2 linked regions of the Neodiprion lecontei genome follow. The protein of the gene in region 2 interacts with the protein of the main gene of each other region in a pairwise test. Links are inferred from orthologs where the notes say so. Each region holds a gene or a part of one and is shown on either strand. Other genes may lie near its edges. The genes, in order: ras-related protein Rap1 and raf homolog serine/threonine-protein kinase Raf.

Region 1 (3,933 bases), on a different chromosome or scaffold from region 2:
GCAACTTATAACGTACTATACATCGTTTATGATAAATAGGTTGATGTAAGAAAAACATACGCACACACGTACGGACGACTCTTATCGTTATAATATCATCATCGACTAGCTTTATTGTGTAATGCGATATCCTTATCTGTGCATAGAATATTTCTGGATGCTCGGTTTCAGTCGTTTAGAGAAATTTTTATGACATAACGTATCCCGTTGTTTCAGACTCATAAAAATTCAGGTTTAAATAATGGTACAACTCCATCTCTATACAAGTGTATTTAAATACTATTTCTAGTATATCAACCGCTTGAAGTTTACTGATTTAAAAACAAACATCAATCAATAACAGATCAATCTTCGGATAATCGATTGAAATTTGATGCTGCTCGAGGAGGCGCAACGATTATTTTTGTGTAGAGTTTATCCCCGTTTTTGGTACGAAGGATTACCGGAAAATCGACGAATCGCTTTAAATTAGTACGAATTATGACAGATGGTACAGAAATAGATCTACGAGGGAATGTGTTTTTTTTCTATCTTTGTTGCTGCTTGTTTCCTGCAGTTTGCCAGAATGGCGAAACTGAGTAGATGGAGTGTATCGTTTCGTCGATTAAGTTCAACCAGATACCTACACACACCAAGGATAATTGGTATCACTTACGTAACGACTCTCTACCTATATGTACATATGTATACACCCTCGAGTGGTTTCAAGTTGATAATTTTGTAACGTATACGTACAACTGTTTCTGTATACTTCGCGATGTTACTCCCACAATACGTGTTGTACCTTTCTGCAGGATGAGGGGTGGTTTGCTTTCTTCTCGTTGCTGTGTGAATTAATTTTTAATTGTATTCCCCCTGCTGCTGGAAGCCGATAATAGTCCATGGAATAATATAATAATCATACACAACGTGCCGAGTTTTCTTTACATTGTATAACGTGCATTAAAAACTTTAAAAATTTTACTATATATTCATTCGACTTACGTTTAAGATTAGTACGTACAATATTGACGGACGAGTAAATGAGGTTGCGTTTAATAATAACCTGCATGATAAACACTGGCAACAAGACACGTCGTAGAGAGACCCGTACAGTCCTCGTTTATGACGCCAGGTTGAAGAAAAATACAATCGATACATCGATGTCTAAAAAGCATGACGCAAGAAAGAATTTTATTTCCATGATCGGTGTAATCATCGATGATATAATCGTGTGCGATTACACAGATTATTCTATGCTGTCTATACAAATGACTAGCATTTTATCTCAAGAGAAGTTATTATCAAGTTCAAATTTCCCGCTCTCGTGACTCGATTTTATGTTACCTGTGTGAAGGTATGTAACAGCTGAGAAACAGTCAAGAATATTTGAAAATCATTCGACGTGAATTATAAAAATCGGGTAGAAGGTAATCTTGAGAGTGCGAGATCAGTGCCCGTATAAGCGTGGTACTATTATTAAATGTGCAGTACGTTAATTGATTTTATTTAAGGAACGACCGTGATGCACGCAACGTGCAGAGGGGGGGTGTCGAAGACCCTTAAACACATGAAGGATTTTCGTCCCGCGATGACGCTGATGGGGAATGGATGACGTTTATACACGCTCGTGTTACATCGTGCATAGATACACCGTATAATACGTGCGTACGGCGTTTTATGATATGAGTCACATTAGGATTATGATTATTTTTAGTGTATGTATCCGTAAGTTGAATCGTGTCGTCACTTGTTCTGATCGTAATTGCGGTAAAGCCAACCAACAACCATATATTGCATGTCTAGATGTCGCCTCGTAACGTGAAAGAGCCGACTAAATTATTACTGATAAATTATTTATCGTGGACAGTACGATAGGTCGATTTTAAAACGAGCCTCGTTCGCCGATAAAAGCGATTGGTTACCGTGATTAATTGAAAGAAATTGACAGGATTGACAGTAATAAAAGGGCAATAGCAGAAGAGAACAAAAAAAAGAGGAACATCGGTAACGTGGTACTGAAAGGAAGGGAGGGAACGCTCTCAGTTATGTGGATCAAGTATTTAGTCTATGGATGGTCGAAACGCAAGATAAATCCGGCTGCTGTGATCGTAGATAATAAATTCCTAGATATGCGACAAACGACAGAAGAAGAAAAATTCGCTTTCTCTCCCTTTATTCATCCGATTCCGATTATCGAATACTCGCGAATTAACTTTTTGTTTTTTGTTGCATAGTGAGAGGACCAGAGGGAAGCGGATGGGATCGACTGTCGAGCTAAAATGAGATACGACAAGATACTTGAGAGCTCGGACTGTGGGCGTTTTCAGTGTAGGGATGAATTGATGCATCGCTTGTGTGCGGAGATGAAGATAAGCGAAGAGAGACGGAATGAAGTAGATGTGTGTAATTTTCTTAGTTACATACCTGACGCCTATCTCGCGGTTGGTATCTCTGGGGATCCTTGATTTCCCGTAGAAATTACGATATATGGTGTATGATTGTTGTTGTTGTTGTTGTTTTATTTTGTTTTTTTACGACGTCCACCGTTTTCGATTTCGTTGCAACGACTTCCAAGTCTGACTGTGATTAGATTCTCCGGTTGTTTCCTGTCGTTCGCTTTTGCCTTCTTCTGTCGTCGCCGCCGCCGCTGCTGCTGCTGTTGCTGCTGCTGCTACACCGCCATGACTTCATGTAGAGAGAGAAAATACCCACTACTACCCAGAGTCACGATGTAGGTAGGTAGGCAGGCAGGCAGTTGAGTAGGTGTACGTACCAATTGCACACCGAGATTGTCGTCGAGTTGTGACACTGATACTCGGTTCACGAATGAAGGAATATCTTTTCTCTATTTTTTTTCGTTCGTAACTCTTTAAAGTCTTCCTACGAAACTTTTATTACAACTTTACATTCACAGATTTTCTTCCCCTCTAAGCCTCGTGTCGCCGATGCTGCACCCTTTCCACGCACACCGCACTACTGCCGAACTCGCGAGCATATAACAATAATTAATTTTACCTTTTATACAGTCTTGTTGAATTGTGTTGTTTTTTTTTTTTTTTAACTATTATTGTTATTTTCTTTGTATCCCGTATCTTTTTTCTTTTTCCTCGCAACACTTCTTTGTTCATTTACTCGTTAATTTAAATTCTCTAGTTTGTTGTTTTTTTTTTTCTCTTACGGATCATTCGATTCCACAGAGTCTCTATATCACCGCACGTTTTACTCCTTCTGTCGGTTCGTATCAATTTATAACACGGCCTTAAGTAACGCCCGGCGAATCACAATTCTACCGTTATCTAGGGCGATGCCTACTCTGCTCGTCGCCGCTCGCTCACCCTGTCTTCCATTGGCACGTCGCTACGAACGTTCGCCGATAGCTTCTCTCGTAACCTTTCGTCGGCCAATTGGGGGCTCCCTTACGTCGGTCAAGCCCAATGGGCACTCAGCTTTTATGTGATGACGTCACTAGCCATTCGACCAACGTAAGCGCAACCGCTTAGTCATACGCAGCCACACACCGAACGACATCCGGAACGCCAGATTCGAGCAGGATATTGTTTCGTACCTGTTTAAGCAGCAATTTTTGCTCTATTCCGTCACTACGAGCGTCGATTTTACCTATTTCGGAGCTATAAACTCGAGGTAACTGCCAAAAATCTCAAATAATTCTACTCACTCTCGGCCAATGGAGAGTGCGGAAAATTAATTTACTTTCTTTAAGTTGGCAGTTCCGTATGCCGCGAAATATAAAACTTGAAGACGTATCGGATCTTCGTGCATGCGATCTTGCGTTAATTTGTACAGAAATTCAAATGTTCGAATGTCTTTTGTTTCTTGGTCTTACCGTTAATCAGATGAAATTAGAAGGTCAACGATGGAGCGAGTTACTCCACGTGGTTTCCGATCGAAGGGTGCGAATCAGGCAGAAATATTAAGAGCCCGTCAGCGGGA
Region 2 (3,933 bases):
AATTTTTTTTCAAATTTTTCTCTTTTCAATTCTGTTTCTTTTTCTTTAATGCATTCTATTATGTTTTTATATGCCAAGGGTGAAAATTCAAAGTAATGTCCATTATATGTTCCCGCCCGATGGGTAAAAAGGGAATGCTCCGAATTGAAAGTTGACAGGCGTTTTAGGTGAAGCGCAGGCGTAAAGGAAATCATCCGTCTGCAATTGAGTTCGATTTAAATTTGGTTCCGAAGCTGATCTGGTTATCTTAGGCAAACCCTGAATCAAACCTTCCAAGCTAGCTAAAATTTGTCTAAATATCGGTCTTTCATCTCTGGAAAATTTTATACAGTCTTCCGTCAGGCGTTTCAAAGCCTTCGGAGTGTCCGATCTGAGTTTGTTCAAATCAGGACGCAGGTAGCCTCTCCCAACCATGAAGAGAATTTGATCTTTGTTGTTATTGTTACAATAAGGTAACTGTCCGGTAAGCAGTTCGAAAAGTACCACTCCGAAAGCGTAAACGTCGGACTGATAACTGTAGGGATTTTCTTCCTGCATTCTGATAACCTCGGGTGCCATCCATAAAATGGAACCAGTCGGTTGGTGAAATTGCTGAGATCCAGACCACCTTGTCTTCGCTGTTGCCAGTCCAAAATCACCAATCTTCACAGTCAAGTCATCGTGCAAGAATATATTGTTGCTCTTCAAATCCCGATGAATGATGTTCTTTGCGTGTAGATAATCCATACCCTGTGCAGTCTGTCTGCCAATTTCAATAAGTGTCAAAAGTTCAAACTTGGATTCAAAAACATGGAGGTGTTTGTACAAAGACGATCCCTCGCACCATTGAGTTACTATGGCGAGCTGGGGTTTACTGACGCAACCCATAAACAGGAGTATATTAACATGACGAGTTTTCCTGAGCACTGCAACTTCATTTTTAAATGCCTGGAGTTGAGCCAGTGTTGGAATTTTAACGTTCAAAGTTTTCACAGCCACCGGACCGTGCCAATGAGCTTTGTACACCGTCCCGAACGATCCTGAACCGATGCGAGGTCCCACCAATATTTCATCGGCCGGAATCTCCCAGTCTTCGATCGACTCTCTGGGGGCCAATAAATTTTTCGAAGATTCGTCAGCCGACCTTGCCCTTGGCCGTTTTGGCCTCAACGTACTCGTCGGACTCGCCTGCGTCGATTGACTGTGCTTGGTCGGACTGCTTCCAGGTGAAACCGGACTCTGAGTGTTACCAACCGGCCTTCCCAGGCTTTGAGATCTGGTGTAATCCTCGAGAGACGAGGGATCGCTCCCTGGTTTAACCATGTTGAAGCAGACATTGGGAGCGGAACTGGAGCGATCTTGCTGCCCCAAGGTTCTGGGATGTCTGTGACTTCTGACAGGAGCCAGAGACGGAGACATGCTTCGACTTAGACCATAGCCAGATGGAAGTTGGAGTATTCCAGCAGTAGTTTCGGGGTTGTGAGCCAGAAGAGCCTGGTAGTAAGCATCTTGCATGCGAACCTGATGACACAGCGCCGGAACACCGCCGGCACATCGTTGATGAAATCTGTAGTTACAAGTCCGGCAATAGAATCCTTGAAAGAGAAGTTTTCTACAGAATTCGCAGAACGCCAATGAGAAAAATGTCTTTCTAGCAAAATTGTGCGATATAGAAGTCGTTATAGGAAATTTATCCAATATCTCGACCGATATCTCGTCGCATTCCAAAGACGAAATGTCCGTGTCCCAGGGAATCGGTATCTTGGTATCGTTGTGTCCTATTACATAGACCACGCACATTTCCGGCGTAAGATTTCGCAGCTTCATCGCCTTGGCGAGGGCGTCTCTGAGCGAAAGTCCCTCTTTGACTTGGACGCTGGTGCGTTGCTGATTGGGTAGATGAGCGCGTAGCAAAGACTTCAGCGGGGTTCTCGGGTCTGGTTGTCTGGATGGTGTCTGAACCTCGTAGTCAATGTTAACACTAGCGGTAGAGTTCAGGAGCTCGTTGAGCTTCTGTTCCTTGGATTCGAGCTCGTGCAGCTTGCTGGTGAGTTCCTGATACTCGGTGAGGTAGATCGGAGGCGGGTGTTGAAAGCCGGCGAACTTGTTATTGAGCGCATCGATGTTCTGCCTCGTGACATGGATGACACTCTGGATATTTTTCAACTCGTATCTGAGGGGATCCGTCTCGAGGTAACAGTCTTCGAAATCACTCAAATCGGCGTTGTTGCCTGAGTATCCCTGCGACATGGTGTTTGAATGGTCATTACCATTACCACGGGACGGTGTCGTGTACGAAAACGTCGGTACTCTACCATGGACGAATCTTACTTCCCTAATAACTGCCATTTTCTAACGAGACCCACCTGACGCAGGTTGTTTTGTTTTCCTCGCAATGAACGTCGGCGGCGACGACATCGTGTTTAGCTAAATGGCCTTGCGAATTTAGCCGCCTATCTTCCTCCTTCTCCGCCACCTCCTCCTCCTCCTCCTCCTCCCCCCCCCTGCTCGGCCGCCAATATCTTCACCTTTTAACGCGATATAATTACGCACCGTTGGATATCACTTCACCCGACACCCGTCACTTTATATTTAAGTACGCGCCAACGATTGTTTAAACAATATTTATATTATTGCGGGTCGCACGATAATCGAGACTCTGAAAAACTCAACAATAGGCCAGTGTCAACGGCGGCTGCTTTCGCTGCCTTATTACTCTAAACTCTTGCGCAGAACCCGAACGGCGAACCGAACCGACACGGAAACTCCCGAGTTCTGTGTGTCCAGCGCCTCCGATACGTATATGGGTCATTCCACGTCAACGGTATAACGTGTATACCGTTTTCGAAAATTCATTACTAGACGGGTTTTCAAACATCATTTTGTATCAACCCTATGAAGAGTATGTCTGGCGGAAGGAGGGTTCGGAACGAGAATAACATTCCTCATTTCGCTTATTGTCAATCACGTGATTAAAGACGTGAAATAATCTTTTTCCATGCATTATTTTATAATCTTTAACTATCCGTATAATATTGCAGTAGTCGTTCCAATAGTTTCGTAATATTCAACATTTATGGTTGAAATGGATTGAAACGAATTGAAATTGTAAAAACAATCGTTTGGAAGTGAACATTTTATGCGAAGAATATGAACGATTTAGGATATTATAATGTGGATCTCGGGTGAAATTCATATTGAAAGGGAAAACAATCGAAATATACTATAATATCAAGAATTGGTTTGTCTGAAATACTGTTAACTACTTTTTTTATCTGCTATCTAGAGTTTGTGTTCAATTCGAACGTTGAGAATTAAAAGCAGAACGGATGTCAATGCGCGGTTGATGCTTAGTAATGAGAACCGTGAATAGTCGATAAAAAGAATAGAATTCCATAGAAATTAGCGGTCGAGTTTGTGGTTAGTTGAAAATTCCAAGACATGCATTTATATGCACGGTTAATATAAAAAAAAAATACACGTTTCAATTCTTTTATGTTCGTGGAACTTGAATTTTTATTCCATTATAATCACAAGACGATGTGCAAAAAATTTCGTTACAGACAAAATCCGAGAACAGATTAATTCGGTACAATATAATTTGGATACGTGCGTCAGGTTTGACCGCGGTTTCTTCACGTAATTTGTGAAAAGACTCCAGTTCCTTTCTGATTCTTTGGTTTTTTAATAATATCTCAACCAAATAATTTTGAATTACACTTTAAACTTTCCGGATAATTTCCGGGGGTGCAACCCCGATTTTTCTGATACCGACTTATATATTTATATACCTGTAGTTTTTCAGTCAGAGATTTGCAGTGTGTAGTATATTGTATATGCGATGCGATAGTGAATAGCATTTTCAATTTGATCGTTCCCGTGACTAATATATCTATTTATTAGCAGCCCGTCGTGTGGGTTCATCCGCTAATATTTTCAAATTCTTATTGTAGC

What was found.
Region 1: the proteins of raf homolog serine/threonine-protein kinase Raf (region 2) and ras-related protein Rap1 interact in a two-hybrid assay, tested with the Drosophila melanogaster proteins (2 studies listed by BioGRID). The link is inferred for Neodiprion lecontei from reciprocal best matches to the Drosophila melanogaster genes Raf and Rap1.

Annotation. Positions count from the first base shown.
Region 1 is NC_060264.1:31,048,839-31,052,771, reverse strand, and holds the start of ras-related protein Rap1, read right to left. Parts: upstream 3,026-3,933; 5' UTR 2,407-3,025; intron 1-2,406. Other genes in the region: peroxisome biogenesis factor 10, read left to right, coding at 3,857-3,933. UniProt on the Drosophila melanogaster protein: Ras proteins bind GDP/GTP and possess intrinsic GTPase activity. Plays a role in photoreceptor cell determination.
Region 2 is NC_060262.1:27,894,308-27,898,240, forward strand, and holds the start of raf homolog serine/threonine-protein kinase Raf, read right to left. Parts: upstream 2,717-3,933; 5' UTR 2,329-2,716; coding exon 103-2,328; 3' UTR 1-102.